Struthio camelus: one gene and its partners. The protein of the gene in region 1 interacts with the protein of each later gene in a pairwise test. Links are inferred from orthologs where the notes say so. Each region holds a gene or a part of one and is shown in the gene's direction. Other genes may lie near its edges. The genes, in order: CEP70, AKAP17A, ZBTB16 and SYTL5.

Evidence for each region.
Region 2: the proteins of CEP70 (region 1) and AKAP17A interact in binary tests that used the Homo sapiens proteins (3 or more experiments, as listed by UniProt). The two-hybrid records come from large-scale screens. The link is inferred for Struthio camelus from reciprocal best matches to the Homo sapiens genes CEP70 and AKAP17A.
Region 3: the proteins of CEP70 (region 1) and ZBTB16 interact in binary tests that used the Homo sapiens proteins (3 or more experiments, as listed by UniProt). The two-hybrid records come from large-scale screens. The link is inferred for Struthio camelus from reciprocal best matches to the Homo sapiens genes CEP70 and ZBTB16.
Region 4: the proteins of CEP70 (region 1) and SYTL5 interact in binary tests that used the Homo sapiens proteins (3 or more experiments, as listed by UniProt). The two-hybrid records come from large-scale screens. The link is inferred for Struthio camelus from reciprocal best matches to the Homo sapiens genes CEP70 and SYTL5.

The regions. Positions count from the first base shown.
Region 1 is NC_090947.1:35,546,670-35,554,294, forward strand, and holds the start of CEP70 (centrosomal protein of 70 kDa), read left to right. Parts: upstream 1-4,613; 5' UTR 4,614-4,995; coding exon 4,996-5,004; intron 5,005-5,565; coding exon 5,566-5,665; intron 5,666-5,826; coding exon 5,827-5,950; intron 5,951-6,286; coding exon 6,287-6,467; intron 6,468-6,793; coding exon 6,794-6,963; intron 6,964-7,625. Other genes in the region: FAIM (fas apoptotic inhibitory molecule 1), read right to left, coding at 781-1,009, 1,379-1,514, 2,181-2,224.
Region 2 is NC_090942.1:147,316,752-147,324,609, reverse strand, and holds the start of AKAP17A (A-kinase anchor protein 17A), read left to right. Parts: upstream 1-4,843; 5' UTR 4,844-4,910; exon of another isoform or gene 4,911-4,998; intron 4,999-5,370; 5' UTR 5,371-5,821; coding exon 5,822-6,583; intron 6,584-7,858. UniProt on the Homo sapiens protein: Splice factor regulating alternative splice site selection for certain mRNA precursors. Mediates regulation of pre-mRNA splicing in a PKA-dependent manner.
Region 3 is NC_090963.1:637,260-644,981, reverse strand, and holds the start of ZBTB16 (zinc finger and BTB domain-containing protein 16), read left to right. Parts: upstream 1-4,709; 5' UTR 4,710-4,793; intron 4,794-7,421; exon of another isoform or gene 7,422-7,549; intron 7,550-7,722. UniProt on the Homo sapiens protein: Acts as a transcriptional repressor. Transcriptional repression may be mediated through recruitment of histone deacetylases to target promoters. May play a role in myeloid maturation and in the development and/or maintenance of other differentiated tissues.
Region 4 is NC_090942.1:129,200,627-129,207,713, reverse strand, and holds the start of SYTL5 (synaptotagmin-like protein 5), read left to right. Parts: upstream 1-4,080; 5' UTR 4,081-4,226; intron 4,227-4,302; exon of another isoform or gene 4,303-4,547; intron 4,548-7,087. UniProt on the Homo sapiens protein: May act as Rab effector protein and play a role in vesicle trafficking. Binds phospholipids.

The DNA.
Region 1 (7,625 bases):
GTGCCAATTATTTAAGGAGTGTTTATTCAATCAAATCCCAATTTTAACTTCTTTGAGGTATGTTTAAGTAAAGAGCAGCTTTACTTAATATCCACAAAGTTTCAGAGTTCTTAAGATCTCCTTGAAAACTCAAGTTCCATCCATACCATAATATGAAGAATCTTAAAATTGTACTGTTTCAAACAGTATTATTTTATTTTTCCCAGTACAACCTTCTTAAGTTCATTAGCTCTAGAATTCACATTACTGACACTGCCCTCCACTGGCAATGATTAGAGAGCTGAACCCTGCTCGCCTTTTAATTAAATACAAGGAGACTAAAACTGTGAGGAAAACCAAGCAGGCTGCAGGCTCTGTCATATATTAAGATTGCCCCCCCCCAGTCTTATTTGATCTTAGGATATTCATTCTGTCCTTACGTTTAATAAAGGAGAAAAAAAAAAAAAAAAACATAGTCCCTGATCTCATCTCTGGCTCTAACCTTGCAGCAACACCCAAGAAGCTTCCCCTACTAGATGCAATGGACACAAATTTCCCAGTAGCTTCCTTCTGCCCATCTGCTTGTAGTATTTTTGGGAAAGGGGGACGAAAGAGGAAAGATGTAACCAGACCCTTATTTTTTCAGATCGTTGTCTTTAGCATCTAATTAAGTGTTTCCAGACTACCCAGGATTTTGCACTGCAACAGTGCTAGCCTGAACTATACCTTCTCTTATCTGCCAGTTATTAAATGCACACAAGTTTATTCAAAGGCAACAACATGAAGTCAATATTTACTTACCTAGAACAACTCTATACTCCATGCCATCCAAACTCAGTACCCAAGTATTAGTTGTTTTTGACCTGTTCTCCATATACTTCTTGAGGCTTTTCCCATTGATATCCAACGTATATTCATACGCAAAGCCACTGACTGCATCAATGTTAATAGTAGCTTTTGTTTTAGCTGCTCCAACAGTAAACGTTTCTTTACCCACCAATTTAAACATCCATTCTTTTCTTATTTCTTCCTGTAGGAAAAAAAGCCAAAGACAATGGGTATTAATTAATAAACCTGAATATGTCTCAGGATTGAGACATTTTGAACTAGAACTTGGGCAACAGCCCAGTACTTAACTATTATTTCAGTATGTACGAATTCATAATATTTTGCATGTACAGAGTGCCTCTGCCCAAGGACTGCAAAGCACTTCATGAAGACTCACACCTTAATTGTAACTGAGAAGAGAATTATGTAGTCTATTAGATTACGTAAAGTTAGTCAACCAAATACATCTCACTTGCATTTATTAGTCTTTTGTTTGTTCTGATGCATTCTGCATGGAAGCACACTTACACAGTCTGTATCATAGTGAATTTTGAGCATATAGTAATTTCACCTTTCCATCAACATAGACAACACGTTTTCCTGACGTGGTCCCATGTTCAAATTCAATCTTATGAACACCATCACTTAAAGCTACTTCCCAAACGGCCACCAGATCTGTCATCTTCTCTAAATGGCTGTACCGGGACCTACAGAAACACCAACAAAGTACATTAATTGTGGTTGAGAGAGTTCAAATATTGCTGAATGTAGTTGAAAGCTTTACTACTTTATAGCAAGTCACCTTTTACCAATGAAAAAGTGAGATCTGAAAGAATAAATGTAACCAATTTTTTTATTTTCTTAAAAAAAACCAAACATTCAAATATGATAAAACTTGTCACAAAAAATAAGCACAAAGACAGGTAAACAGGTTCACTTTGACTAATACCATACAAGAACATACATCCATCTAACCTCTAAAACTTCCAAGGCAGATGACAACAAAGTTAAAAAACTACACTTACATTCCAGATGCTTATGGACAGTTCTGTGATTTCTTGGCAGTCACTAATACAGTACGCTAACTGGTCTGTTAAAGTGTTTTAGCCTTTTAAACTTGCAAACTAGTTAGGGTGACCAGTTTAGCTATTAAAAAATTTGTCTGTAACCTTTTTCATAAATATTACCTACATCATTCAGAAATGCAACTGTGCATGCACATACATATTACCCCTCCCTCCTTCCAATGGGGGGAAGAGATGTTGAGATATCCTTTCTTTAAGTGGTTTTTAAAACTCAGGTAAACTCTTAAGTGACTGCTGAAATTGTGGATATCTTTTCAAACCTGTTCATGCTGCAGTTCTGTTTTTTACCTTAGTTCATCTTCACCGACAGTAATCTCCTCACAGGATGCCATAGTAATCAAAACAGCTCTTAATCCAATTAGCAGCAAGAAAAAAAGAAAAGCTGAATAGCAATAGAGAAGCATTGAGAACTAGATTTTCCTAGTTTTCTCCATTTAAGATTATAGATCTTTTTAAAAAAGTGTGATGAACTATCATGTATTATTCATATATGTGATTTTTTTCCTCTTAGACAAAAAGGCAAATACAAGTTTATTTGGAAGTATTACTTTACAAAATTAGTATGGGCGATTTTTCCTAACTTTATTAGCACAGCCTAGCTTTGTCATGTATTTGATGAAAAGTACTTTGCCCGATTTACGAGAGAAAGTTTTGAAACGGACCTGACCAAAACAGGAACCAAATCCAGAACTTCACAGCTCAGTCACCAACTGTAACACACCGGAGACCATTGCCACTAGAGGCAAAATGAAATAGTGCCCGAGAAGAGGATATCAAATACTGCTTGGGAGAGCAGACAGGATGCAGGAGTCCTTATGGTCCACAGTCAGTGCAATATTCAAATCCTGAGTGAAGTGGAAGCCTTGTTCTTGTCTCAGACCTCTAAACATAAGCACCAGAGCCAGACTCAACAATTTCGACTTAATAGCTTTGCTAAACCACTGTAGCAGTTTTCAATAGTCATGGTAGCAATTTGACCTGGCAATTCAACCATAAAAATCTGTATTTACCAGAAATAAACAATGCAAGCACCATCAAAAAGCCTTCTAAGTAAGAAGTAGTGATTTATGTGTTCCTACAACACTGCTAACCTGTTTTTAATCCTTATCCTTTTCATTAAACACAATAGTTTGTGTAGGATCTATTTTCATTAAAAGCTGTCTTTTAAACTGTACTGTTAATCACATAAGCTGTAACAGACCTCCCAGTTGTCAGAGAATCATTTAAGCCGGTGGAACATAAAAGCATAAGAATACTGTACTCTATTTTTCTTCCAACACATGGCCTATTGCTCTAATCCAAAGTAGCTACCAATAGGTATAATTTCATTCAATGCAAATAACTCATTTTTGGTAAATAAATGGTACTTTTCCTTGAAAAAATGAATTAAAGTCAAGTCATGAGTTCTAGGATCTCTCTTGAGCATAATAGTTAATGCATTTAACATTAGGCCTCCTTCAGTGTAACTTGTTTCTGCTCTAAAGCAAGCTCAATAGCATTGCTATATTACTGTTTATTATCTTTTTCCTCAGCAACCCTACAAATTTCTGCTCGTGAACTGCAAAGTAAGTTCCAAAGACTGTGAGTTCATTTTTAAGAATATAAGGATTTAATTCTCCCATTTGTGAGTTGTGTATGTCAACTAATAATGACAACAAGGGGGTCTTTTTGTTGCTTTTGAAGTTTACAGTTTGGTTTCCATAAAGATTCTTATCCTCTGGAGCATCAGGGAAGTTGGGAAACGGTTATTATTTCTGCACCTCCTTTCTAAGGATTAAAAAAAGAGAAAGAGACTCTTACTGGCTCAGGACAGACTTACGCCGCCTGCCTCGACCATCTTATCAACACAGCAGCGACCTCAAGTTACAAAAAGTGCCAAAGAGGTGGAACCGGAGCACGTTTCCAGCCTGCTCGCAGACCCTGCATCCCCTGCGGTGGCATGCAACCCGGCCCTATGAAGTTTAGCAGCTAATTTAGCATCAATATTGAAAAGGCTACAAAATAACGGAAACTACACAGTCTCCTCCCCCAATCACTTCGTAACACGCTTTTCGAATCAAATCTGGGCACAAAACCCAGTCTCTAGGTCAGCTTCACCCTATCTAGAGGATGGGCAATACCCATGGAGCATAAAGTGAGAGCAGCACGCAGGAGACGCTGACTGACTAAGAAAACCTCTACCGCAGAACCGGCCCGCAAAAAAAAAAAAAAAAAAAAAAAGGGAAAATAAGAAAAATTACTTACTGCCTTGAATCAGTCCCTGGGACTCCGGGCAAAGCAAACCCCCCCACCCTAGCTCTGGCCGCTGCCAGGCGGCACTTAGCGCTGTAGGGCCTTGGAGGCCGCTCCAGCAGCCGCCAGGCCGGGGAAACCGCTTCCCCCCCCGCCCCCCTTCCCGCCCCGCCGCTGCCGAGCGGTCTCCAAGGCGCCGCTCCCTCAGCCCGGCCGCGCCGCGGCCAAAACACCCCCCGCCGCCGCCTCCCAGCGTCGGGCAGCGAGGTGACCGCAACGCCTCCGCGGGCTGGACAGGAGAGCCCCGGCCCCGGCCCCGGCCGCCCCCATCCCCAGCGCTGTCTCCTACCTGCGCGGGGCTCCGGCCGCTGCAGCCCCCACCGGCGCCACCTCCGTCTCCCCCTCCCTTCGCAGCTCTCAGCGTCTCAAAATGGCGGCGCGGCGCGCGCCCCGGCCCCGCCCCCCGCCGGCGGCCGTTAGCCGCAGCCCGCCCCGAGCCGGCGCCGTGAGGCGGTAGTGGGCTGCCCGCGCCGCTCGGCCGCCTCCCGCTGGGTGCCTTCCTGCCGCGCTGCCGGCCCCGCGGCCCTCTCGGAGCCGTTGCGGCGGCGGGCCGGGCGGGGAGGGCGGCTGTGGGGGTCTGAAGCGCCAGTGCCGGCTGCTGGCGGCCTGAAGCGCCAGTGCCGGCTGCTGGCGGCGGCGCGGCCTCCGTGCGCCCCGCCGCGCCTCTCGGCGGTCCTCTTTCCCGAGGCCTGATGACTTTCCCTTTTTCTTTCTTTCTTTCTTTTTTCCCCCCTCCCGTGTTCATCCCTAGGCAGCTTCAGATCAGGGCCCGGGCTGCTCTTTCTGCATATTTGAACAGAAATCCCTCACAATGACGGAGGTACAGTAATGAACCTGAGCTGTTTGTTTGTCTGGTTGATTGATGCTACTTTGAGGTTAAATATATGTATGTACATATATTATACACGCACGCACACACCTACAGATAGGTATTTCTCTGAAGAACTCGCCACCCGCCAGCTGGCTGCACCGTGCTGGGGCCCTGGGGCGGGACGGGACGGGACGGGAGGGGAGCAGGCCCCGCCGCCTGGAGTACGCGTTAAAATATTAGTATGAGATGAGTGCCTTTCATTTTGTATATATTTATGTATTTTTTCCAGAAAGTATTTTTTTTCTTTTAATCGTTTGCAGATCATTTGCAAAGGCATTTAAAAATACTCACCGGGAAAACTGGATAATCTGTAAACTGTCCAGTGTGTTTTTCCTAATATTTTTGCAGATCATACTTGGAAAGTCTTTCAACCCTCCTGTAGCAAACCGTGGTTGTTTTTTGATATGGGGGCATTTGGTATCTTCTACCGTGTACACAGCTAGGAGAAATAGGAGACCGTAAGCTGATCTTCAGCATTCAGGTTGTTGTCTCTCCTTCTCCCAAACGCAGCAGGAGAAAGCAGAATGGGAAAACTTAAACAAAATTTTGATGCGCCATGGGTTGAAACCTGTGAGCTTTGCTGCCCCAGGAAACAGCAGAAGTATATCAGGTAAGGGCATGCTGTTTTTACAAGTTTCTGTATATGAAAATATAAGCCCAAGTTCATAAACCGTCTTTAAAGCTGTCTTTTGCAAGTGCCAGCAGAGATGTGGTCTTCTCCAGTTATCAAATGCCTTTCACTGTGACTTTGTTTATTTTGAATGTTTCCAGATATGATTGTCTTGGACAATCAGTCTTCTCTGGGGATAAGATGTGCATTACAAACACTGCTGGAAGACACGGACCGACAACAGAAAATGATGCATGGGCTTATGGAGGCTAATCACCAGCTCAGGTAAGACTCAGTGGTAGGAACTTGTTTCTAATGCAAGCCAAAAATATTGTCAGTGTCCGTTCTCTGCCAGGTGGAGCTGCTGCCACGCATGAGGCCCAAGACCTTTTTCCTGGGATTTTTGTGGAAAGTGGCAATGTTGGCCTGGTTTCTTCTGCATTTTTCTATCATTTCATCTGCTGCTTCTTCCCATAGCAAAATATTTCCCATACCTGCTCACATGGCCCATTATTGAGTGTTAACAGCTAAAATCTGTTAGGCCTGTGTCTCCTTCACTGTATTTAGTGAAGTTAATTTATTCTAAATCAAGGATTGTGGTTTTTTTTTTCTTTTTGTTAGAGATGAGGTACGTCAGGAACGAGGTCGAGCATCCCGGCAAGAACAACGGGCTAATGATTTGGAAAACGTGGTGAAGAACATAAAATCCAAAATTTGCCAGCTGGAAGATGAGACAATAGCTAAGGTTTGCCAGCAACAGAATCAGGTCAAAGAACTTCAAAAAGATCAGCAGATTTCACAGGTAATTCTGGTAAACCTGTTTGAGGACTCAAACTTTTGACTTTTATTTAAAAGCTTTAAAAATAGTGACACTGGTCAAAATAAATGCAAATCTTTTTGTCTTAAGAGTTACTACACTGTTTATAGCTAAGATTTTTCAAGCTCTATGGAAATTTTTTAATGATAGATTAGAAAAACATATGCATCCTTCTTCCACTGTCTCTTCAGCATGGCTAGAAAAAAACTACTCACCTTCCTTAGGAGCAAGTGCCTACTTGGGCATGTATGGCACTGTCTCCAGCTTGTTTGTCAGAATAATTTCGGAATGCTCCCGTTCCCTTTTCACAGGCAAAATACCAACAGCAACAGGAAAAGCTGCAAGAACAGGAAGAGACTATTGCCCGTTTGCAGAGGGAGCTGTACAAGGTTGGGATGGAGGAGCAGCAGCGTGTTGCCACTCAAAACAAAATGTTTTGCCAGTTTTGCAAAAGAGCTCCGAAGTCTCTTCTGGATCAGCAGTAAGCAATTTTCTTCCACTGTTATACTGATGTAACATTAAATGAAGAAGCACATTTTAAAATAATGGTTTTTGATATTTTGATTTTTTTAAAAACTGAGTTCCTTAGGAGTGCCAGTTGAAATATGAATCCTTGTGCCTTGTAAAGGCATGTGAGTTCAATGAACTTTTACTGTATATTAAAAGTGAGCTGCTTAAATCCTTGGAGAAAAGTGAAAATTACAGCCACTGTACACAAGGTGTCAGCAAAGAAAAGAGAATGATGCACTATTTAGTCTGGAACTCCAACGTCTACCAGGGTGATCTCATTCTGGGATTCTAGTATTGTTAAATGTGATCTTAAAGAAACAACAAAAATCTTTCAGTTGTGAAAAGTAGTATTTGCAGCTGCTAACTGCAGGCTTACTGTAAAGCTTTACAGTTACTTCTGTGAAGGTTTTGGAAGTACTCTATGTCTCTTATGATAAGGTCTCCATACTTCTACTATAAATCAGAGCTTTGCCAATTCTTAGGCCTCAAACGCCCCTCACTTGAGTGTGTTGGTGTGGCTGGGTCTGCCAGTTTTGGCTGGTAACACTAACCTGCAACAAATTTCAAAGGGACTGTGCAGCCTGACTGTTTCTTACTGTGCCCTCACTAAACAAGAAGAGGAATCACTGAATT
Region 2 (7,858 bases), on another chromosome or scaffold:
ACTATGGAAGATTAACAGTATTAACCCGTTGCTGTTTTCTGCTCCAGAAACAGATGGGCCAACAGCTCTTGCATTTTAGTTCATGGATTGCTAAGAAAAATTTTGGGTTTAAAAACTGCATATGAAAAGATCAGATTCTTTTTTGATTGGTATTAGTACGCAACCTGTAATATTATGAGGGAAATATATAATTTCAAATTGCTTAATTTGAATCAGACTCAAATATTTTCCTCTGAATAGGTAAGGCAAAAAGGACAAAAAGAACCCTGATCTTTTAAAACTGGAATTATATTTGAAGTTACAGCTATGGAAGTCTGAAATAACAGTATTTGAAAGCATCTCACATGAGTACCGGTATAAAAATTGAAATAATCAGTACTGCATCTGACATCACAATACTAGAACTGTTTAAAGCATAAATCTTGCTAGCAAGTATAATACAACGTGACTTAATAGCTTGAATCTAATGTTTATGTTTTACAGGCTACTGCATGCTGTAGTTCAGCCAGACAGTTCATAAATCAGTTCTGCTATAGATGCTAATTCCTCTTTGGCAAAAGCAAGAAGTAGATTTTTTGTTTGTTATTTATATTAAGTGTAACATTAAGTGCGACAGTAAGCACAGCGCACTGAGGTAAATTGGTAGAACTATCGCGCTCTGCATCGGATACTCCTAGTCTGTGCTAACAAGATGAATTCCTTGTTGTACAGATGAATTAAGAGGGAATGGAATTATCTTTGTATATAGTCATATTCTACTTATTTAAATAGAATACAACAATTAGGTCTGTAGAGGACCAGTTACAGGAAGTGATGTTTAATTCCAATTAATTGAAATTGCCCCATGTCAGCACACAATTCTTCTAACGACATGTATTCTTCCCAAGGCAGACAATCATAAGCACAGTTTTTACTGACACATAGCATTCAGTTAGACCAAAAAAAAAAAAAAAAAAAAAAGGAGCAGAGATAATGGAAGCAAAGTGAAAAAAATAGAACTGTTTCTTGCCATAGAAAATAAAACAATGCATCATGTGCTGCAATTCTATGCTTCTACCCACTTAGAGGCTTCAAGGCATCAGGGCTTAATTTTGTTTTGTGGGTAGAGCCAATTTAATGTCTGGAAACATCATTTTTACTCTTTTCAAGAATTACGCAATCTATTGGTCCAAGTCTTCTGTGCTGCTGCTGCATCCACCTCCAGCTACTATCCATAAACAGTTTGATGGTACAGTGAATCACTCTGGTTTTTTTTTTCAGTAGGAGAGAGAACAAAGAGATGTTCTCTGTTAAGTGACAACAGAAAACAGAAATCACACTGAAAGTAATCAAAGGCTGGTAAGGACTGTAGCTGTTTCTAAAAAGAAATATACTAGGAGTATTTATGGACTTTATACAGCAGAGAAGATTTAGATGATCACTGGAGACAAATCAGTCTCAAACAGAAAAAGCCAAGTTTTAAGCTAAAAAGAGCTCCTCCTCTTTGGTATTTTTCAGAGGGGAAGAAGCAAGGAAGGAATGGAAGTAGCACTGCTGCTTTAATGCATTACACATGTAGCTTCTTGCATTCATTGCCACAAATGATCATTAAAGGCAAGAGCATGGTGCAGAATGAACAGCGGAATAAGTATACAGATAAGACCACGCACAGTAAGGAGAATTGTGTCCTCTTGTAAGAAAAGCAGAATAGTGTGTATTAAGGCATGAATACAAAACTTAGTATCTGCTGTTTATAGTCTATTTTAATTGTGTTTGTGAATACATGTATAGATAGATTTTGTGCATATAGATAGATAGATAGATAGATAGATAGATAGATAGATAGATAGATAGATAAAACAAGGGCTCCCTCTAGTGAACTTTTAAGGGATTCAAAGTGTGGTGGTTGTGACTTCTAAAGATACAAGCAGACAAGGTTTGTAGGTAGAAATCTTATCTGCTATTAGACCACTTGTTGAAGTTGAGCAAGACACACAAGTCACTTTTCAGGTCTCTAGCACAATATATTTGTTGCAGTTGGGGAAATGGAATGTGTTACAGTGACAACCAGATTGAATGCACTGTTATGCTTGGATACTGTCACTGATGTTTACCTTGCCTGTTCATGCTTCCTCTTCCTGGTATGTGTGATATGTGACCTATTTTCTGAAACGCAAAAGGAACCATTTCATTTAGTCACTTAGGTATCTCAATATAGTTTATAAAACAAACAAAACAAAAATGCACATCTACTAATTGTATTTGTGCAGGCAGAAAGTTTACCCTTGCCACATCTTTTATATCTTTCTAATGCGCATTTCAACTGTTTCTTCTTGTCCACAGCCTTTACAATATTATTCAATATAACATCACATTCCTTTTTCCTTTCCCCTACCGTGTTAGATAATACATTTGTAACATTCCTTTCAGCCGAGAGTATATCAGAAAAATAGTCTGTGAAAGATATTATGGTTATGGTTGGTAGCACAACATGGGTAACCTTAATTCTATCATTTTGTAAATTTTCAGGCACAGGATTCAAAACTGTTGCCCTACATAACATCTCACTCCACTTCTACTGAAACTACGTGGAATGTGACTGCTTTGTTCACTCCCAAATGAACTTTCAAGATTTTAAGAGAAAGCGTAGCATACGATGCAAGTATTCTCCAACTATCATACATGAGCTATTTCAAGGTGTTGTACAGTGGCAACAGCTTCTGATTTTGTCTTTGTACAAATACTTAACTAAACCGTGGAATGCATATTTCTGTGCAAGAAATTAGAGGAGGGTTGGCAGTTACCAACATCCGTGATGTGAAATAACACTTCTATACAACAACTGCGGTCTCACAAGGACTGCTGGATTGGTGGTAACTTCCTGTGTTGTGTTTTGACCTATGCTTTAGAGTCATTATTTCCATACAGTGGTTATCACCAGTCTGCTGCCACAGGTAACTGCAGTCCCTGTTTCTCAGCCTGTGGGAGCTTACCTAAGGTGGGACTGGGTGCCTGCTTTCATATGCTGCAGGGGGAGCAGGTGATGTGGAGAGAACGGGTAAGTCACTGACTGAGGTCAGGAGGATGGAAGCAGTAATGGCTTGTGGGCTAGGGATATGCAGCAAGAAATCGAGAGAGGTAGGTGGTGGCATGTGATTATAGGGCCGGTGTTGAAACCGGGGTCAAGAACATGCGATCATTGGAGGGTGATGACAGAGCAGATGGAGGCAAGCCTTCTCCTGTGCATGTGTGCTGACCTATGCAGAGTTGGAAACTTTTGCATCCCGTACTTACACTGAAGTATGAGCAAACCACCAGTGGTAAAACTATAGTGGGAAGCTTTGATATTCTGTATTATCTGCAAAATAGTATAAGATCATATAAAAATCCTGTATTTTAGGTTCAGCCAGCCTATTTGTATTTTGGGCAAAACAGACATAAAAATCAAACAAGCACGAAAGAAGTAACTGTCCCCTGCCCTCACTACTGCAACTTAAATACCTTTTTTCACTAATATAAACTGAAGACCAGGAAAGAAAGAGAGCACATTCAAGAGACCAGGTATTTTGGTATGCCTTGAATATATTTACTAATGAACAATTATATAAACACTTGTCAATACTTTATATATTTTCCGTTCTTTTTTCCCCTCTCTTTCCCTCTGTACATGCCGGGCAGTTAAAAAAATTCCTGAATATTGGGAACACCAAGGACGTGATGCAGTTAAAGACTAGGACCTCTACACTCAGGTGCCTACACGCAGACGTCCACCTGTGACCTAGGGGCAGGATTCAGCTGCCTGGCAAATGGGCCTAGCGCCTACTGAGGTGCCCTAAGGTACCCGAGACGTCGTCAGGATTTGAGGAGACTCACAGCCTCCTAGAGCAGCAGCCAGAGACCCAGCAGGACCCAGACCCCACAGCTCCTGCGATGACACTGGAAGCTCAATTCACTTGTCTAAACATGTGTGCCTACAGCCATGCAGGTTGTCAGCATAGCCTCCAGCTGCCAGTATAGACAGGTTTCCTCCACGAACAATTTTTATAATTATTTTCGTAATTATGTAGGATAATTTTTAGCCCCATATACATAACTTGGGTATCTTACAGCATCTTAAATAGCATTAGGCACCCATGTTCATACGACTAAATTGTGTCTGGTTGATTTGTGAGATTGTTTATAAATACAGGGTTTGGGTTCTTTTTCCCAGAAAAGCACAAACTATCAGAAGTGTGTGGGAGGCTATTTTCCTTGGTAGACAGTGACTCCGGAGGCCCCAGCACTGCTCTCGGCAAGGTGCTCGGTTTCTGCCCTCTCATCTCCCAGTAGGTAAGAAGGAAACGGTGAGAAAGATCTTCTTGGAAAGCAGGCCTGTTGGCACGCACCGAGCGCAGGCAGGCCAACGCTGCTGCGCAGCGCACGCCTGACAGGGAGAGCAAGAAGCAAGGGCCTGCTTTTCACTAGAAACTAGTGGAGTCACTTTGCCGGCAAGTTTCCAGCGCGAACAGAAAACAGGCCGTGACGCTGTCATTGCCAGCAGGGCCACAGAGAGAAAATGAGGTCAGAGAGGGCCAAACAGAAACACCAAGCAGGCCACGACCCACTTTCTAGGCAACTGGGCAACGGAGCAGAAACGCAGTTCCTACCAGCCTTCACACAAAACTGACGCTTGCGGGGGAGTTTTAGGGCCCCGCAAGCCGCGCAACTGCGCCTGCGCCGCGGCCCTCCCGCCCGCCCGCCGGCCTCCCCTCCCCGCCGCCTGGTGTCGCCCGCTGGAGCCGCGGCCCCGGCGCTACCATAGAGAGCGGCTCCGCCCCTCCCCTTTGCCGGCCAGGACGCCTCCCCCGCTAACCCCCCCCACCCCCGGCCGACGCGGAAGCGGAAGCGGGCCTAGCGGCGCGCGGTGGCGGTGGGGGGCGCGGAAGGGACGGGTGCGCGGTGGGCGGCCGTTTGCTGGGGGTGGGAGTCCGCCGCGCCGCGCCGGGCCGGCTGCGGTGAGGCGGCGCCGAGGCGGGCGCGGTGAGTCTCCCCGTGCGGGTGGTGGTGGTGGTGGTGGTGGTGGTGGTGGTGGGTGGAGAGGCCTCACTGTGCCCTGGGAAACCGGCAAGGGAGGGGGCAGCGGCGGGCCGGGCCGGCCAGCGGGGAAGGCCGCGGCTCCCCCCCCCCCCCCCGCGCCCGCAGGCGGCTCGTTGCGCAGCCGGACGTGCGGCCCGCACGCAGGGGTCACTCGCTGCCGTTTGGCTGGTAGCGCGGGCTGGAGGGCTCCCAGCCTCGCCGTGCCGCTCAGGCTGCTCTGCGGTAACCGGAGGGCGAGGAGGCTTCTGGCTGGAGGGGGGGGAGGAGAAAAAAAAAAAAAAAAAAAAAAAAAGCAGTGTTCTTCTCTCATTGCAGATACCCTATGAGTCTTTAGAGTGGAGAGCGTGGAGTCTGTCCTCAGTGCTAATCTGCTGTGGTTTATGTGTTGTTAAGTAGACTTCGAAGCCGTGTGACATCACTCCTCCTGTTCCTTTCTTCCTGAAAAAAGGGTAGCTGCTTTCTGAGCCATCGCATACCAACTTCATTTATTCCTAGATTGTCCTCAGCGTCTTGTTTTTTCTGAGGCCTTACTGAGATTTAGTTGTTTATGGGCTCAGGTGGTTATAAAGTAATTTAAGATGCTTGTGTTACTTGATTTTAACTCTCTAATTGACTTTTATATTAAGAGACATTGGTTTTACTTGGGAGTGATTAAATGTCCAAGGAGTTCAATTCTTTATGCATAAGGGCTATTTTATTTGACATTTTTTGGCCTACAACTTAAACTTTCATCTTTATTCTTTTTATCCTATGCTTTTTCTGTGTTATGGCTGCTGCAACAATAGTTCATGATACATCAGAAGCTGTAGAGCTCTGTGCTCCCTGTGGGTTATATCTTAAGCCCATTACAAAAATGACCATCAGTGTGGCACTTCCTCAGCTGAAACAACCAGGAAAATCCATTTCAAACTGGGAAGTTATGGAAAGATTGAAAGGTATGGTGCAAACTCATCAGTTTTCTACTCTGCGGATTTCTAAAAGCACAATGGATTTCATCCGGTTTGAAGGAGAGGTTGAAAACAAAAGTTTGGTGAAGTCTTTTCTGGCATGCCTTGATGGCAAAACAATAAAGCTGAGTGGCTTCTCTGACATTTTGAAAGTCCGTGCTGCAGAGTATAAGATTGACTTTCCCACCAGACATGACTGGGACTCTTTTTTTCGTGATGCAAAAGATATGAATGAAACTTTGCCAGGGGAAAGACCAGATACTATTCATTTGGAAGGCTTACCTTGTAAATGGTTTGCAGCAAAGGATTCTGGCTCAGAAAAGCCAAGTGAGGAAGTTCTCATAAAAGTTTTCAAGAAATTTGGAGAAATACGTAATGTGGACATACCTATGCTGGACCCTTATAGAGAAGAAATGACTGGCAGAAATTTCCACACTTTTAGTTTTGGAGGCCATTTAAACTTTGAAGCCTATGTTCAATATCGGGAATATGCAGGTTTCATTAAGGCCATGAATGCCCTGCGAGGGATGAAGCTGATGTACAAAGGCGATGATGGCAAAGCAGTGGCTTGCAATATAAAGGTGAGAACTACAGGCTCTTGTATAATAACCCATGTTAAAGAACAGATGCCACTAAAATCCTGTGGACTAGCTGTAATAGAATGTTGAAAGGAAAATGATAGAAAGAAGAAAAATGTGTTATGTTAGGCACAGAATGGGTGGGGTTTTTTTCCTTTTTCTCAATGGAAGGACCAAATACATGAGTATGACTTGTTCATGATTTGTGATTTTTGAAAATTAATACATATCTATAAATATTGTCATTTCTCTTAAAAATTATAATTCTGAACAAGTTCAGACATATTTCGCTAGAAGGTTGACTTAAATGAAATGTCCTCTTGTGTACACCACAAATGGAATTTTTGGGGGAGAAATTCACAGCCTCCTACACTGACAATGAGGTCTACCAGACAAGTGTCAGGATTCTGAAATTTAATAGTCTGTGACCTATAAGACCTGTGGAATGCACCAATTGATCATGGTTAGTGTACTTCACGTACGGAAAGGCCTTAAAAAAAAAAAAAAAAAGTACATGTTAAACTGTAGCACAATTTCCTGTGAATCCAGTATGTTGAATTCATAATATTTACATACCAAGATTTCCAGATCTTTTCTTTTTGTGCAACCTCATTGTCTTAGAAAACAGAACTATGGCAGGAGAGGACAACGCGTCCTCTTCTGATGTAATGTCAATGAAAGTATGGCCTAAGGACGACTGCTCTGATATACTTGGAGTTTGTCCATCCAGTTATGTATCAGTTGAGTGAAATGTTTGCTTACTTATTTCAGTGGACTTCATAGTCATTCATCAAATCAGGATGTGTATTTCAGGAAAAAGCTTGACTATTCGTTTTTGTAATACGGGAACATGTAAATACTTATTTAAGTTTTATTTTATTAAGTAGAATACTATAATCTTGTTACAAAGCTTGTCAGTTGGAGCATAGAAACTCTTTAGACCTTAACTTTTTTATTTTCCAGGGGTTGTGAAATTCAGACTGTCACTTACATACACTGGATCAGGGTTCCCAAATTTAGTTTGTCCATGCAGGAGGAGGAATGCTTTCCTGGCAGCTGCCCTGGGGATTGAATAGGAAAGGGAGAGGGCAATGTTTGCAACTGTGCTATCAGGACAGATCTCCTTCATACATAGTTACAGTGCTCTGACCTTTCCAACTCTGCTTCTCTCTGTCCATCCTTTTAACCTGCTAGTGGAACATCGTTTTACATACAGTCGGAATGAAATAAATTGTGGAGTACTTACTCTTTGCCTTGCACCCCATGGTTTGTATCTTC
Region 3 (7,722 bases), on another chromosome or scaffold:
GGAGTTCTGGAGCCGGGGCGATGCACCCAGCTGCCGTTGAAAGCCGTGTCAGCTGCCTAGATTGCCGGCCCTTCTATCTGGAGCTATCTGCGGCCTTAGCGGCTTGCATGACGACTTTTGCAACTCTGGCCCTCAGAAGATAGCTCTTATCCAGGAAAAGCTTTGTGAGCCTGTTGACTGTCATTCATTGGAGGCTGACCGAGTCATTCCGGCAGGGAACGTGTTCGGTACAGCAGAGCGTGCCACCCTGCCTCCCGCACGGCAGGCCTATGGGCCAAGGGCACCGCAGCGCCGTCCCGCCAGCCCCAGCGCTGACCCAGCTGCCGGAACACGCCGCCAAGTGCGTCTGTGGGATTCGCGCTGGTGGGCAAATATGTTGTGACCGATGTGGAATGCACAAATTTCTTCCAGCCTTCACAAGGGATTCATAAATATCTCCCTTAAAAAGGGTAGTTTGCAAACTGTCTTGATATCCAAGTGTTATCTGAGGTTTCAGTCACTTAGGAATTTCTAAGCAGATAAGATACCCGGGGTTTATTGTATCTTCTGGCAATTATTAAGAAAATAAAATCTGTTAATATGTAACTTTGGATCTAGACTGACTTTTGGCTGCAGACTTTATTCCGACTCTCTTGTAAGTCCTGGCGTTCTGTGGCTTGCAGAGGGGCGTTAGGAACGGCTGCAGAGAGGAACGGGGATTTCCTTCGAGATGCAAATACCTCCGTAAGGCTGCCAGAATGTTTTAGAAACTGCCTAGGTTTGTGTGTGTGTGTGTGTGTGTGTGTGTGAGATTCGGTCGCCTAGGTTTTTCCTGGTGCGGGAGATCAGTCGACAAGGAGGAGGAGCCGCTTGGACAGAAGCTTCCCCAGCTGTGTGGGGACTCTGTGTGCATCTTTAGCACACACACATGCGAAAAAAGAGGAGGGGAGGAGAAAACCTTCCACAACTGTAGCCTGTTTGCACTGTCAAAAATAGTAATACCTCTTCTACACATACACACGCGCGCACTGGCAGACACGTGTTTCAAAAGGGGAACAGATGACTCATGCAACTGGAAATGGGATTCGGAGCTTTGCCCTTGCTGGAGAGGAAGGATGAACTGGGGGTAAAGGTGTTCGCTTGGGGCCAGGAGCTCCACACGCACCTTGCTCCTTCCAGCATGAAACTGAGCCAAAAGCATCCAAATAGCATACAGATTTACTTTTTTTTTTTTTTTCCCCAATGGGATGGCTAATGCCAGTTATGTTCCTGACTCACTTTCCAAAGCGAGGTCTACGCTCCAGCGTCGTTGAGGCTCTAGAACTGCGCTGCTTCAAGGCAGCAAGGAGCTGAAGAAATATGTTAAGGATATATTAATATCACACGCTCAGGAAAGCATGAGAATTGCAGAACTAGTTTGCAATTCTTGTTGGTATCCAAAGCTGGGCACGAGCCCGGTGGGGAATGAACATCCCCTTAGGGAGTTACCGCCCTGTACCCTGGTTCTGGGGGAAAGCCAGCATTATTGGTGTGCTGCAGGGAAACTATCGCCCTTCCCCAGCGCTATGTCCGCTCTGGAGAGCAGGGAAAGCCGAAGCGAGGGCGGGGGCACAGAGGAAAGGGAGGATACCATCCAGAAACGCATCTCTCGAATGAGATGGTCTAATATTGCCGAGGATGAGGCCGGCCCCCGCGGACTGCCGTGCTGGGGCCTCCTCTTGTCTGTCCTGGGTTTGGGGGGATGAAATTTACCCAGCGCACGCGCGACCGCCTCGGCGCCGTGCGGTTCGGGCCGGCATTTAGAGTCCTGGCACATCTTCCTTCCCGTCCCGTGCGAGATGTCAAATATTTTAGGTTAAAAGAAGGGGAGAAGAGGAAAAATAATTGCACAGTAAATTAAACAAAGTGTCCCCACACCCCAGCTTATTAACGCTTCAGAAGTTGCTGCTTCTGGCTCGAGCTGTCTTGAATGCATACAAAGGGTAATGCTAAAAATAGGTACTGTACAAATGATTAGGTCATCGCCTGCTAGAGGGAGACATTTTTATTTAATTACTAACCAGGCTGTGCGGCGGTGGTGGCGGTGGGGCAATATATAACAAACACACCAGTTCAAAGCCTGGCTGCCTGTTTTGCAGCGCTGTAAAGTTTGTGCTCCTTCGCTGAGTCACGGTGGATAAATCCCCTTTGTGCCGGGATTTGGGGTGGAATGCAGGCGGGCTGGCCGCCGCCGGCTCCCGCCGCAGTCGCAGCTCGCCGCCGGCTCGCGCTGTTTGCAGGCTTAGGGCCGTAAGCCACTAATTAGCCTTATTGTCTTACGGGCTTCCCAGCGCGCGTAACCTGGGCCAAGGGGGAGGAACGGCGAAAGGGCAGGGAAACTGCAAGCCTTGGAAACGATCGTGTGCGTGCCAAAGCCTACGAGGGAGGAACGGCAGTTTCTCGTTTCCTTTCGGGGGTACTTGGTATCTCAAAAGCCATCGTTCTTAAAATCCAGCAGGGAATTTAATTCACTCTTTTGATGCAATTGCACCGCTGTAGCCTTTCGCAGCCCTCGCCGCTGCGCAGCAAACGCTGCCAGCCACGGTTTTTGGGCTAGCTTAGGTGTGACTCAGAGGTGCTTGCAGCCTAAATGTCACGGCAAGGCCTGAGCTGCGCTGACTTCGGGTCCCAGCTTCTTGCTCTGCTGCGATGCTCCTTAAAGGAGCCCGGATTTCAAACAACCAACCATCGTGCCGCCCCCAAAGTCCCCCAAAGCAGCTGCGCCCTCTCGGTTGCCTTGGCACGGCAGCCGGTGGCACGATGAAGGGCTGCTCACGACTCCCTCCTCCCGCGTGCGGCCACGGCGCGCGCGGGGCCGATCAGCGCCGCGCCGGGGCTGCACCCCGAGCTGCCGGCCCGTGGCGCTTCTCCCCGCTCCTCCTCGCAAACGGCTTGACGCGTTCTTTTTTAAATGAAGTCTAGCACATTTAATCATCTCTTTCATGACCTGTCAGTGTGTCTTATATGCAGCAGAGCGCCGAACTGCTCTCAGTCGCAGAGCGAACTGGACGTGCCTAACAGCGCTAGGGCAGGCGCTTGTCGCGCGTGCGCTTACGCACGAGCGTTTGCATGTTGAAACCTTCGCCCAGAGTTGGGAGTAATGTCGCAAATCAGCTTTTAAAAGGGATGGCCCAAGTCATGGATTTTTATGATTTAGGTTAAAACGGCTGCTCTTTCCCACCCTGCCCCCAAATCGCTAAGGTACACCGAAAATCCTCGTTCCACTGTTAGAGCATTGGGCCGCACAGCAGCGAGACCAGGAAACTGCCCGAACCCGCCACAGCTAAGGGAACACAACGGTACCCATACCAAAATGCGCTAGTCTGAGCGCGGGGAAGTTAACGTTTCTGCAGCTTGCGTGCGACGCGGGTGCCCCCTCGCCGGTTTGGCGCAGGAGCAGAGCTAGGGCAGGCCAAGCTGCTCGCTTGTATTGGGGGGGACGTAAAAGAAATCGCAGCAAAGTGCAGCTGTAGGAGTTGGGCTTACTTCATCCCAAAGCGTTGTAGGGCTCAGCAGGCTGAAGAAGTCATAAGGAGTCGTGTCATCGTCTCTGGGGTGGAGAGCGGGGGCAAGGAGCCTGCGCCTGCGCGGGCCGTCCCCGCGCTGGAGGGGAAGGAGCAGCCGCGGGCTGACGGAGCCGAGGCAGCCCGAGCGCGCCCCGCTCCCCGGCGGCTTTCAGACCTGAGTGCTGGGCTACATATCCCAAACAAGGAACTCCCTTTTCTGCTGCAGTTTTGGGAAAATTCTGTGGAACGACCTTGTGCGTCTAAAGCCTTTTCTCCAGGGCTAACCTCTCCTTTTCGTCCCTGTATGCCTAGCTGAGTGCCCAAGGAGCAGCCCAAGGAACCGCCTTCCCTTATCCCTTGAAATACTTAGAGGCCATCAACTTGGCACATGTTTCGTTTGCAAATCTTATCTTTCTGTCTGCCTGCAAACACTTACCATGCTATTTATGTTAAGAAAGTGAATGTCTGTGTCTCCCCATCCAAAATACACGAATAACTCGGGAGAAAAAGTTACTGTGCGGCGATCGCTCCGTTTCCTGGGAGGGATGCGCATGCGGACCCGCACGCTACGCTACGTGTGGCTGTCCCGTGAAGAGCTTCTAGGCGTCGTGCAAGTCTCACAAGTTTAATGCTAAAGGTTAATAATAATCACAATAGGCAGCACATCATTGCCTCTGTATCTGGTTGAGAGATTTACAACTTAAACTCATGGCAGAGGAAGAAATTGCCTCAATCACTTGGAGTAATGGCACATGGAGAGCCGCTTGGGCGTGACTGCTATTTAACAGGAGAAACCCAGCTTGGCTTCGTTTAGTGTGCTGGTTCTTCTGTAATAAACACGTCACACTACAAGGTGAGGATTAACTTCAGAACAGCAGATAAATTGGAAACTGATGGGGAGAGATGAGAGTGAAATGGAATATGCTGGGGGGGCCCTGCTGGGGGTACTAGCCCGTAACTCCCGCGCTGGGTGCTGGGACACCACCGCGGGGGCCAAGGCTGCCGTTTGTGAGGGTGATTTCTCCTGGGCAGCGCCTGGGCTCTGCCCTTTGCACCAGCTGCGGGAGGCTGGGGCGGTGCTGCCGCCTCCTTACGGGGCCCACCTGGGGGCAGCGGGGGCCCTGCCTGGGGGTGCTCCTGTTCCCGCCCCTGCCCCAGCCGCAGCACTTGCAGCCTGGCGAGGAGGTTGGAGGCGGCACGTCCGGTGCGTGAACCTGGCAGGAGGTGGCTCCTTGCGTTTCTGCTGCCCTCCAGGGCAGGGACACCAAGGCAAGTGGTCGCGTTTGTTCCTCCTCTTAGACGGGTGAACTTTCCGCGGTTGGACCTTTCTTTTTCCACAGGAAGTCAGTCACCTGCTGTAAGCGAGGGTATAGGTGCCTTGAGCATGCTTGCTGGAGCTGGTGCAGTGAGGAATTTGCATTTTTTTAATGTTTCCTCTACGCTGTCAGTGTGGGGCCTTGCTGGGAGAGAGTGCGATGATGTTTAAGGTTGTGGACAAGAGTTTTTGGCTCTTTCCTGTTTTATACTTTTCATACTCTCTCTGCCTTGTGGCTAGTAAGGGGTTTCCCAGCTCCATGTGCGCGCAGGAGCGTGGAGGGCTGCAAGCATATGGAAGGAAACAGGGGCAACTCCTCCTAAATCGTGTGCTTTCTGAGGGGAAAAGCTGTTTCTGGCGTTGTCAAAGATGCGCTTGGCTGGTGTATTGCAGAAAGCTGATGGAACTAGTACTCGTGCTAGTACTCCCTGAAACTCCTACTTAACCTCTAAGGAGTAAGTAGCAGTTGGTTGGGGCCTCAATTAACTTGTCGCCTCAACAGTCGAGGCAAGGAAAGCAACTCGGCTCTTGGCCGTGGTGAGCGTGTGCAGAGCCCAGGTGGCCTGGCTGGAGGGGCAGGGAGAGAGACCGCGGTGGTAGTTTGAGGGGGACTCGGCTTTTTCTAAGTCCAGCTGCAGGCAGACAGGTGAGTTTTGAACCGTGCTCAGCGGTGGTAGTTTATTGGGGGCTGAGCTGCAGGAAACTCTCCACTATTGAGTCATCTCGGCTTAACGCCGTGAGTGCAATACACTGACAAATTTGGATTTTTAGAAGGACGTTCTGGTGAGAGCTTCTGACCAGCTCTTCTGCCCCTCTTCTGCGGGGGGACACCATCTTTTTTGCACTGTTTGTGCAATGTCTAGAACTAAAGATTCTTACATGGTATTGCAATGCAAGCAGGGAAAAAAAACAAAAAACAAAAAGGCATATGAATAACCGAAGTCAGTTCACATTTTTTCAGCCTACAGTAAAACAGAGGCTTGATTCTGCCTAGGGTCTCCGGGAGCCACTGCAGTAAACACTGCGGCACAGCTTGAAACCCCTGAAGGATTTAGGCACATCACTACCTAAGATGCACCTAGTCAGTGGATAAAGGCAGGATTTCTGCTTTCAGGGTCAACAATCCAATACTTTCTGGGGAAAAAAGTAGCTGTAGGAAGCGAGTCTCTTAAACAACTCGGTAGCTTTTATTATATATATTAAAACAGCAACAAAAAGTGCAATGCACCAGTTCGCAGCAAGGACTGGGGGGTTAATTTTCAGCATGCTGCATGGGAATTTAGCCGTGGGATTTCCATTATTGCTAATGGGACTCATGCAGCTTAATTTCATGCAAGCTACACTAAAAACATACCCCTAACTGTCTGCAAAATTTCAGTTCTGAAATCAAGCCTTTTAAAAGTTAGAGGAGGGTAAACAAACACCTGAAACCACACTGTCTTGCTGTTCTCCACTCCCATTCATTTTGAGTTAAAAGTGTGTGTGGGGGGGGAACTCGAGCAGTTTTAAGCAATTAAAAAGGAAAAAAAAAACCCAGCGCTCATGCTGACTGATGGCACTCCAAATTTTAGCTTTCTGCCGATTAAAATGGCAGAGTTATAACCCCTGGAAAATGGGGGTGGCTGATGCCTTATCCTTAACTATACTACTGCGAATGCTACATTATAATACTTATCTAATAACCTCAGCGCTGTCGCCTTTCATTATAAGGCCTCTGTGATTAGGCTGTTCTTGTTAAATGACCTCTATCAGCTGGTCCCAAAGTACATTAAATCCCATTATAATTATAAACACACTTCCCTGTAACATTCTCTGCCGCTTGCGTTCGCACCGCTTTACCCCCCCAAGGGTATCTTTGTACTAATGCCGTTGTGGGGCGGTGGTGGGGACGTGGGGCGGCCCGGGCTGGGCGGCGGCGGCTGTCCGTCCGCGCTGCCTCCTGGCTGCGCTCGCTGCTAGGGGCCGCGGCAGCAAACCGCGCCGCGCTTTCCGCGCTGCTCCTGAGGCTCCGGCACCTGCCTGCCCGGGCCGGGGGCGGCCAGCTGCTTCGCCCTGTCTTTGTTTTTACCAAACGCGCTGCACGGAGCCGACGTGCGCCCCCCGTCCCCGTCCCCCCCCCGGTGTCACCGTCCGCAGCCCTTCAGCGGCGGCGGCAGCGCTGCGCCCGGGGCCGAGGCGCGGAGTTCGCGGAGGGCAGCGGCTGTTTTGGGGGGGGGGGGGGCGGAGGGGGGGGGCCGCCCTGCCTGCCTGCCTGCGCCCGGGGGCGGCGCGGCCCCGACGGCGCGGCGGGGGCTGCAGGTGGCGGCCGGGGGGGCCGCGCCGCCGGCGCCGCTTCATTGGCTGCCGCCGCCGCCTCCATGTTTGTTGTTGGCAGAGGCCGGCGGAGCGGAGCGCTGTCCAGCAGCAGCCGCCGCCCCCCCGCCCCGGCTGCGCGGCCCCGCGGCGGCGGCGGCGGCGGGCGGGCGGCGCTGCGCGGGGCCCCGTCGGGGCGGGCCGGGGCGGGCCGGGGCGGCGGCGCCAGCAGTCAAGATGGAGCGGGCGGCGGGGGCGGCGGCGGCGGGGCCGGGGCCGGGGGCGGGCCGGGGGCGGCCTGACGTGGGCGCGGGGCGGCCCGCGGGGCCGGCGCCGCGGTGATTTGCTGCGCGGCGCGGCCGGCGGCGGCGGCGGCGATGAGAGCGGGCAGTGCGAACTGCCGCAGCAGCCGCCCGCCGTGAGTGCGCGCAGCGCGGAGCGCAGCGGAGCGGGGCCGCGGGGCGCGCAGCGGGGCGGGGGGCGCCCCCGCCACCTGATGGACGTTGCCCCCCGCGGGCGCCCGCTCCGCCGGTGCCGTCGGGCCGGGGCGCGGCAGCGGCGGCGGCGCCCGGCCCGGCTCTGCGCTGCCGC
Region 4 (7,087 bases), on another chromosome or scaffold:
ATTGTAAATAATTCCAAGAAAAATCTTGATACCTTTAGGATGAAATTAGATGTTATGCTACCAGTTTATGCTTCACAGGTGTTCACATATTTTCAAATTCTTTTGACAGTTCCTTCACTGTTGCCTCAAGGAACACTTCTGAATATCTTTAAAACATATGGCACTTGCACATTAATTCAACATTTTTTCATGCAGGACTTCATTCTCCAGCTTTTACTCATTTTGCATAGTTCTTGCTTGTGCAAAGAATGCTATAACTGACACTAAAACAGTTGTGTGAATAAATAGTGCACTCAGTAATGAGGGCTGTAGGACCATTCCCTTAGCTTGCAGGAGTTCACTGTAGGCAGTAATTCAAATACTGGCTTAACATAGCACAGTGAAACACTCGTAATTGTATTCCCACTTTTTTTGTCTGTTTCAAATGTACTAAAGAAAAGCAGGGGCAAGTAAACCGATTCCTAGTTTTATAATGGGAGAAAAAGAAGCACAAACGGGTTACTGGCATTTGCTGTATCTGTAACTCTGCTTTTAGCTTTTCCTTTAAAAAGGACAGGGTACATTATAACTTTTGACATCATTTGTTCAGTATGCAGAGGAAGAGTAGCTAAGGAGCCAAAGAATAACTGAAACTTAAAAAATGACTTCATTTTTCTCTCTGAGGTAAGTTTCTTGGGTACATAATAAGCAAACCTCTTCTTTTTGTGTCACAAAAGTAGCAAAGGTGAGGTGAATAAACTCTGGGACAAGAATCCGACTTGCAGCCCAATACTATTGTTGCATAAACAAAATCCCAGCCCTAGGAAAAGCTGGCGGGTCGAGATCACATGGCTACTTGGCAGCAGTCATCTCACTAACATTTACGATGTGTGTTGAAGACACCATATGCTAAGGGGTTATGTAGACTTCTTTCCAACCTTATATATTACACACTGACCAAACAGGAATTATGAAGTAACAGTGTCTTGTGAATTTAAAAATATGTATCTTTTAATAAATTTATTGGATACTGCTTAATAACATTGAATAAATCTCTTTTCTTTCAAGAAGGAATGCTGAGCAGATTGATGAATGGTTTAAGGAAACATAGTGACACTATTGCTTCTGCAGCAATTTCTGTCTTTCTTCTTGAGATGTTATTTTGCCCCATTTTTCATTAGTGTACTATAACAGTTTTTTTTTCAAAAAAAAAAATCTGACATCTCCCCCCCCCCACACACACACATTTTCATTAGCAGTGGAGAGAAGCACACAAGTGCCACAAGCTGCAATAAAACTCAAGGAGGAACCCTTTTTCCAGAAATGCCAAAAAGTCCATCCTTTAAAATGTGGAATGCATCTGAAACCATTGAAAAAACTAGGCAGAAATAGGACACTTCAGTAGAAGTAGCTTCCACAATTTTCCAACAGTCTGAAGGCATTGCTGAAATGTCTGTTTTTTATGAAGACCTCCACCATGCAAAAGGTCAAAACCTTGAGCAATAAGGATTAGTAAAAGGCATAATCCTCTCTTCTCATTGAAGATGCAATTGTACTTCTTGTAAGTAGCCTGGGCAGTACTCAAGTGGACGATCGAGAACTTGCATGTTTCAACTTTCCTGAGGAAGCTTTCCTTTAAGACTGTGTCTTCCAATTCTACCCCTAGCACTTGTGTTATTTAGGAGTCAAATGTAAATAGTTATCCCACAGTAGCTCTTGATGCTAACAACTGTGGGTATTTCTGAGAAACTCTCTTACCTATTTCATGATGCATGAATTCTTACTCACAAACCTCTTTATTTAGCAAGTTGCTGCAATAGCCTAGTTGTCTGATATATTACTGATAGATTAGGGCAGAGAGACATGCAGAGCGCTTCCAGAGCACTCGATAATGCTGACTGAAAAAAAAGCAAGGACTAGCAGGTTTTGTTCATTAATGTTGCTGAACTGAACTCTGTAATTTGTGCAAGTTCTTCTTTGAGTTTGGAGGACATTGTGTCTGCGTGGACGAGGACATCAAGAAACACTGAACTCTATATTGATTTTTGGTGTGCGGAGTTAGCAGTTGCTTTTCCAGACAGAAAAATCTATTGGAAACCTTGTCCCAGAGGACAAAAGTGTTGCTATAGCACTCTGGAAATGGGCCATGAATACGAGGATTCATTCTTAATAAAGCTTTCTAGCTTGAAGAAGGCTGCAGCTAGGGACTGTAGTGGGGTAATTCTTCACAATGATGCAAGTGTTAGCAACTGAGATCCCAGCCATCAATGAAATAATAGTGAGAATACTTTACCTTCCTTCTAAAAAGGCTACAGAGTTCTGTAATCATGACTTACAATACTCTTAGTTCTTACGGTCTGTTACGGATCACAGATGGCACTTAATAATAAACATGGATTTGGGTGAGGCAGAATAATATGGTTCTCCAGCCTTTATGAGTAGCTGCTTTCTATACCAAAAGAAACACAGAAAGTTTGTGCTATTTCTCGGAAATTCTTCTTGTGTTTGGGTATTCAGGTTGGTAATGGTGTATCTGAGCTATCAGGCTGCTGTGCAAACGATTGTTAGCCCTTCTTTTCACTAAATCCCTAACCAACATCGATGAAATGAAGCTATAAAAATCATATAACTCTGAACTTTATGTTTTAATATTTTAAAATATTTTAATAGTTTTAATATTTTAATGTTTTAATAGGTTAAATCATGCCATTACAGAATATATTTAACTGTGCATCTTTTTTGATACAGCAGTTTTCAGTGTTATAGAGACCAGTGTTATATTCTGATAATTACAGGATTTAATTTAGAGCAGATCCATCCAATAGCTTTTCATGAGCAAGTGAAAGGATGCTGTCATGAATATAACATTCAGCTAACTCACATTAGTTTCCAAAGGAGTTGTATTCATATAGTTATTAAGTAGACATTGCATCTCTTAAGATTAAGCTTCCCAGCATATGCATCATTTGGAATAAGACATGCACTATAGTTTCTTAAAAATAAATGTGACACTAGAAATATGAAGATAACCTGAGTATTGTGCATAAGATGCCATTTTTATGCTAGAATTGTTCATCTGAAAGCACAGCAGGAAGTTTTGGTTGCATCTATCAGAATTTTTTGAAACCGATAAAATTTTTACCCTCTTTCAAGTCAGTTACTGCTGTGGAAAAAAATCTGTGTTAAGTATTTTCATGTGGCCTACCTCTGTCTACTGTAACAGTTTCAGAACTGTACTTTAAAATGTTAGGCCATATATATAAGTGCTAAATTAATTTCCTTATCTTTTTAGATGCTTGCTACGTGAGCTCTTCAGGTGCGTTGAAGATGCCTGGGAGGGTAGATGATGATTCACTTGATTCATTTAGGATGTTTATTACATACCGCTCTACCCTTTGGACTCTTCCCTCATCCAGCGCACACCATGGATGCAGCTACAGCTTCCCAATGGCTGGAGAACGTTAAACACAAAGCAGCAAGCGGTCTGGTGGGCTGAGACGGCTCTTACCAAATGGCAGGGCGGGAGCGGCCATTTCGGGCAGCCTCTGCCTGCCGCGCGAGGGCGCAGCGGGAGCGGCCCCCGCCGCCATTTCGCGAGGGGCAGCGGGGCAGCGGGGCAGTCCCTGCCCGCCGCGCGAGGGCGCAGCGGGAGCGGCCCCCGCCGCCATTTCGCGAGGGGCAGCGGGGCAGTCCCTGCCCGCCGCGCGAGGGCGCAGCGGGAGCGGCCCCCGCCGCCATTTCGCGAGGGGCAGCTGCTACCCGCCGCGCGCAGGTTCGCTCCGGCAGCTGCTCCGCCCGCACCCCTTAGCGGCGGGACGGCCGCCGCGAACATGGCGCGCCCGGCTCGCACCCCCTAACCTCCCAACCCCTGGTCCGCTGCCCGCCGCAGCGTTTCCCGCCGGACAGGGGCGCTGCGGGGCGGTGGCTGCGGCGGCGCGGGCAGCACGGCGGGCGCCGGAAGGGGCCGCTCGGGAGCTGCGGCTGGGGCTGGTCCAGCAGCAGCTGGAGAGGTGAGGGAGGACCTGCCGTGGCGGCGGGGCTGGCTGCCGACTCCCCTCCCTCCTCGGGGATGGCGAGGCCAGCTCCTGTGGGGCAGAGCCGGCCCCTCTCCCGGGGTATGGGGATGGCTTTGTCGTGAGCCAGCCCCTCGCTCGGCTCCAGCCCTTCCCGGCTGCAATGCAAGCACACTTCAGCCGGGGCTGCTGCTGCTTCTGCGAGGAGCCCCTGCCCGCTGCAGGCGGAGAGCGGTACAGCCGGGGGAGGCGGGGAGTAGGGAGGGGGTGAGGTGTGCTGCTGCGAGCGTGCACCTGCGGGCGTCCGAGCAGTCCGTGTGTGCGTGCAGCGTGTGTGTGTGTGTATATCGTGTGTGCTGCCTACGTGAGCCAGGAGCTGAATCCCGAGGAGGCTGGAGTAGTACTTTACCTCCCAGCTCCATTGAATTACAGAGTTGACATCAGCAGTCCTTAGCTGCCTCGGCAGCAGCGGGCATGCCGACAAAATATACCTATATATATATCTCAAAAAAATACGTATTTTTTGTTTTTTTTCTTCTCCTCCCGAGGTTCCTGGTAAGTCCCTCTTTCTTAATAGAAAATGCAGCTGTTTTCCGTGAGTAGAGGAAGACGGAGCCTGCGGAATGAAGGCGGGGGGGAGCCTTGGTGGAAAGCGCCCCCCAGGTCCCCTGTGCCGGGGCTCTCCAGGGGCACCTTCCGTGGGGAGGGGTGGGCTGCCCTCACTTGGCTTCCTCCTGCAAGTAAAGCAGGTACTTACAGCATTACTAACCTGGCGGGAGGTGTTTGCGTGATTTTTTTGTTTAAATGTTTGTTAGCCTACATTGCTGTGAGAATTGGAGGTGGTGGACCTTACTGTCAGTGAAGCGATCTGCAGTTACTGTTCTGCAGAGGGGGACAGTGAGGAACGGGCCATTAATTGTCCTTCTTGAGGCTGGGCAGGTGAGAGGCTCAGTGGCACTGAGGTGGAGATAGCTCGAAGGCTTGTGCTAGCTAATGTTTTCTTCCAGGTTTTTGACTTGAAAAACGTTATTTGTTTGTTATTATGGATAATAATACATAACCTAAGTATTAAAATATAGCAACCAGGAGGATTAGATAGTGGAGAGGGAGAACCACTTATAAGTGATTATAGAGAAGTCTGGGTTACTTGGTAGTTACTGAGTGCAGATATCCAGTATGCATTTCAGCATAACTAAGTGTGAAGTCGTATCACTAAGAACAGTGAGTTAGAAGGTTGCGCCCCAGGGTTGGTGATTTTGGAAAGACTTAGGGAATTTCATGGGCAGTCAGCCAGGGATGAGCCACTTAGGTGAAGCTAAGCAGACAGAGGAGCAGCAAGCAGGAGCAGGAAAATTAGCTGTGAGGTGTGCAAGTGTTACTGTTTTGCTGTTTGCACTTTAGGCAAGAGATTTCTGTGCTCACAGCCACCCCAATAATTCAAAGGTTTAAAAGCCGCTTGCTGTACAGTCTGTCAGAGAACGTGTTTTCTTGAACAAAATCAAAAGAATTACAGCAGTGATTGGATCTTTGTCTAGAAATGTCAGGGTAGGAAGAGCGGGCTCTTAAGTTGAGCTAGAAAAGATTTAACAAGATCCAGTGTGGAAATTTGAAGTTGGAAGGGCTGAGACTATAGAGAGGGCAGTTTTTTAACAATAAGAGCACTTATTAGATTAATAAGTATTTTGATTTTTTTTTATCAGCATTGTGCAGCTTTAAACCAAGGATGTTTTTCTAAAGCAAGGTCTCTATTTTTGACGGAACTTTAGTATGGGGAAATCTTGTGAGCTGTGTGTAGCAGAGGATGGAGCAGGTGAACACAATGGAGCTTGTCTCTTTTAGACATATAGTCAGGAAAGCTATGTCATCTCAGGAGGCACACTTTGGGTATGCTCACCTTCCTTCCCTTGGCTCCCCCAACTTTCTTGACGTAAAAAGACTTGATGACCTTGCTGATTAGCCTTTGGCTGTATGTTTTCCTGTGTATTTCTCTTATAAATTATCCCCAGAATGCAATCGGGGCTCCATGCTTCTGTTTTGCATCCAAGAGATTGAGTTGGAGCTTTGGAAGGTGACAGTTGCGATGAGAATTCCTGTTCATACATCTGAGTACAGGTTTGAGGTATGTGGTAGGTGTGGCTGGAGATAGGGGTATATGATATCCACACTGTATTAGTATGTTTAAGCACACTTTAAGTAATTTAATACATTAACATTTCTAAGCTTTCTTCTATGCTATGTGTACCCTTAAGAGATAATTATCAGCATATTTTTGCTTTTATAGATTTCATGGTAGTTGAAATCTTAAGTTCTTTGGGATGAATGAATGATTCTTTATTTATTCAAAGCTTGTTGTAAAAAATCCTTGTGTTAGCCCTGTATTCTCAGAGTGGAAAAACAGCAGGTATAAATGATCTTATTAAATAACTTGCAGCATGAACAGCAAATCATAGTCATCTACAGGTTTGCATATCTACAAGACATTTCACTTCTACGTAGTGCTCTCTCTCTCTCTCTTCCAAGTCTCCTTATCAATACAGAGGTGAATTTCCTATCTGATGATTAACTGCTCTTTGTTAGTGAGATGTTCTGCTCTGGAGGGGAAGGAAGAGAATCTGCTGATGGAGTGAAGGGCTGAGGACAGCTGCAGTGCAGGTTTGCTAAGTGCCTGAGCACTTTGTTTCCCAGTTCTTTATTGCTGTTGCCTTGCCTAAGTTTACTCTGCCTTCCAATTAAACTTTCTTGAGACCAAGGATGAAGAAACTGATGTATTCTACCAGAGCCTGGAAACATAAGACAGTGGAGTAGTTAAGAATGGCAGGAAGAATAAGCTTGAAAAACTGCTTGCTTTGGAGTCCAAGAGTGGTAGTAGGACAGTATTTTGGGCATAGGCATAGGAAGCTGAAAATGCCTATTTCTTTTGGATCTTTAGAGTAGTTCTTCTATCTTTCTATACTAAAGACCCATGCTTATATACGTAAAAAATACAAATGTGGCAGAGTTCATCGTTTGGAAAATAATTGCGTAGTATTATTCAAAAATACGTGTAAGCAGAAACCAATCTTATAATTGATGTATATGCCCAGCAGATGGTCTTA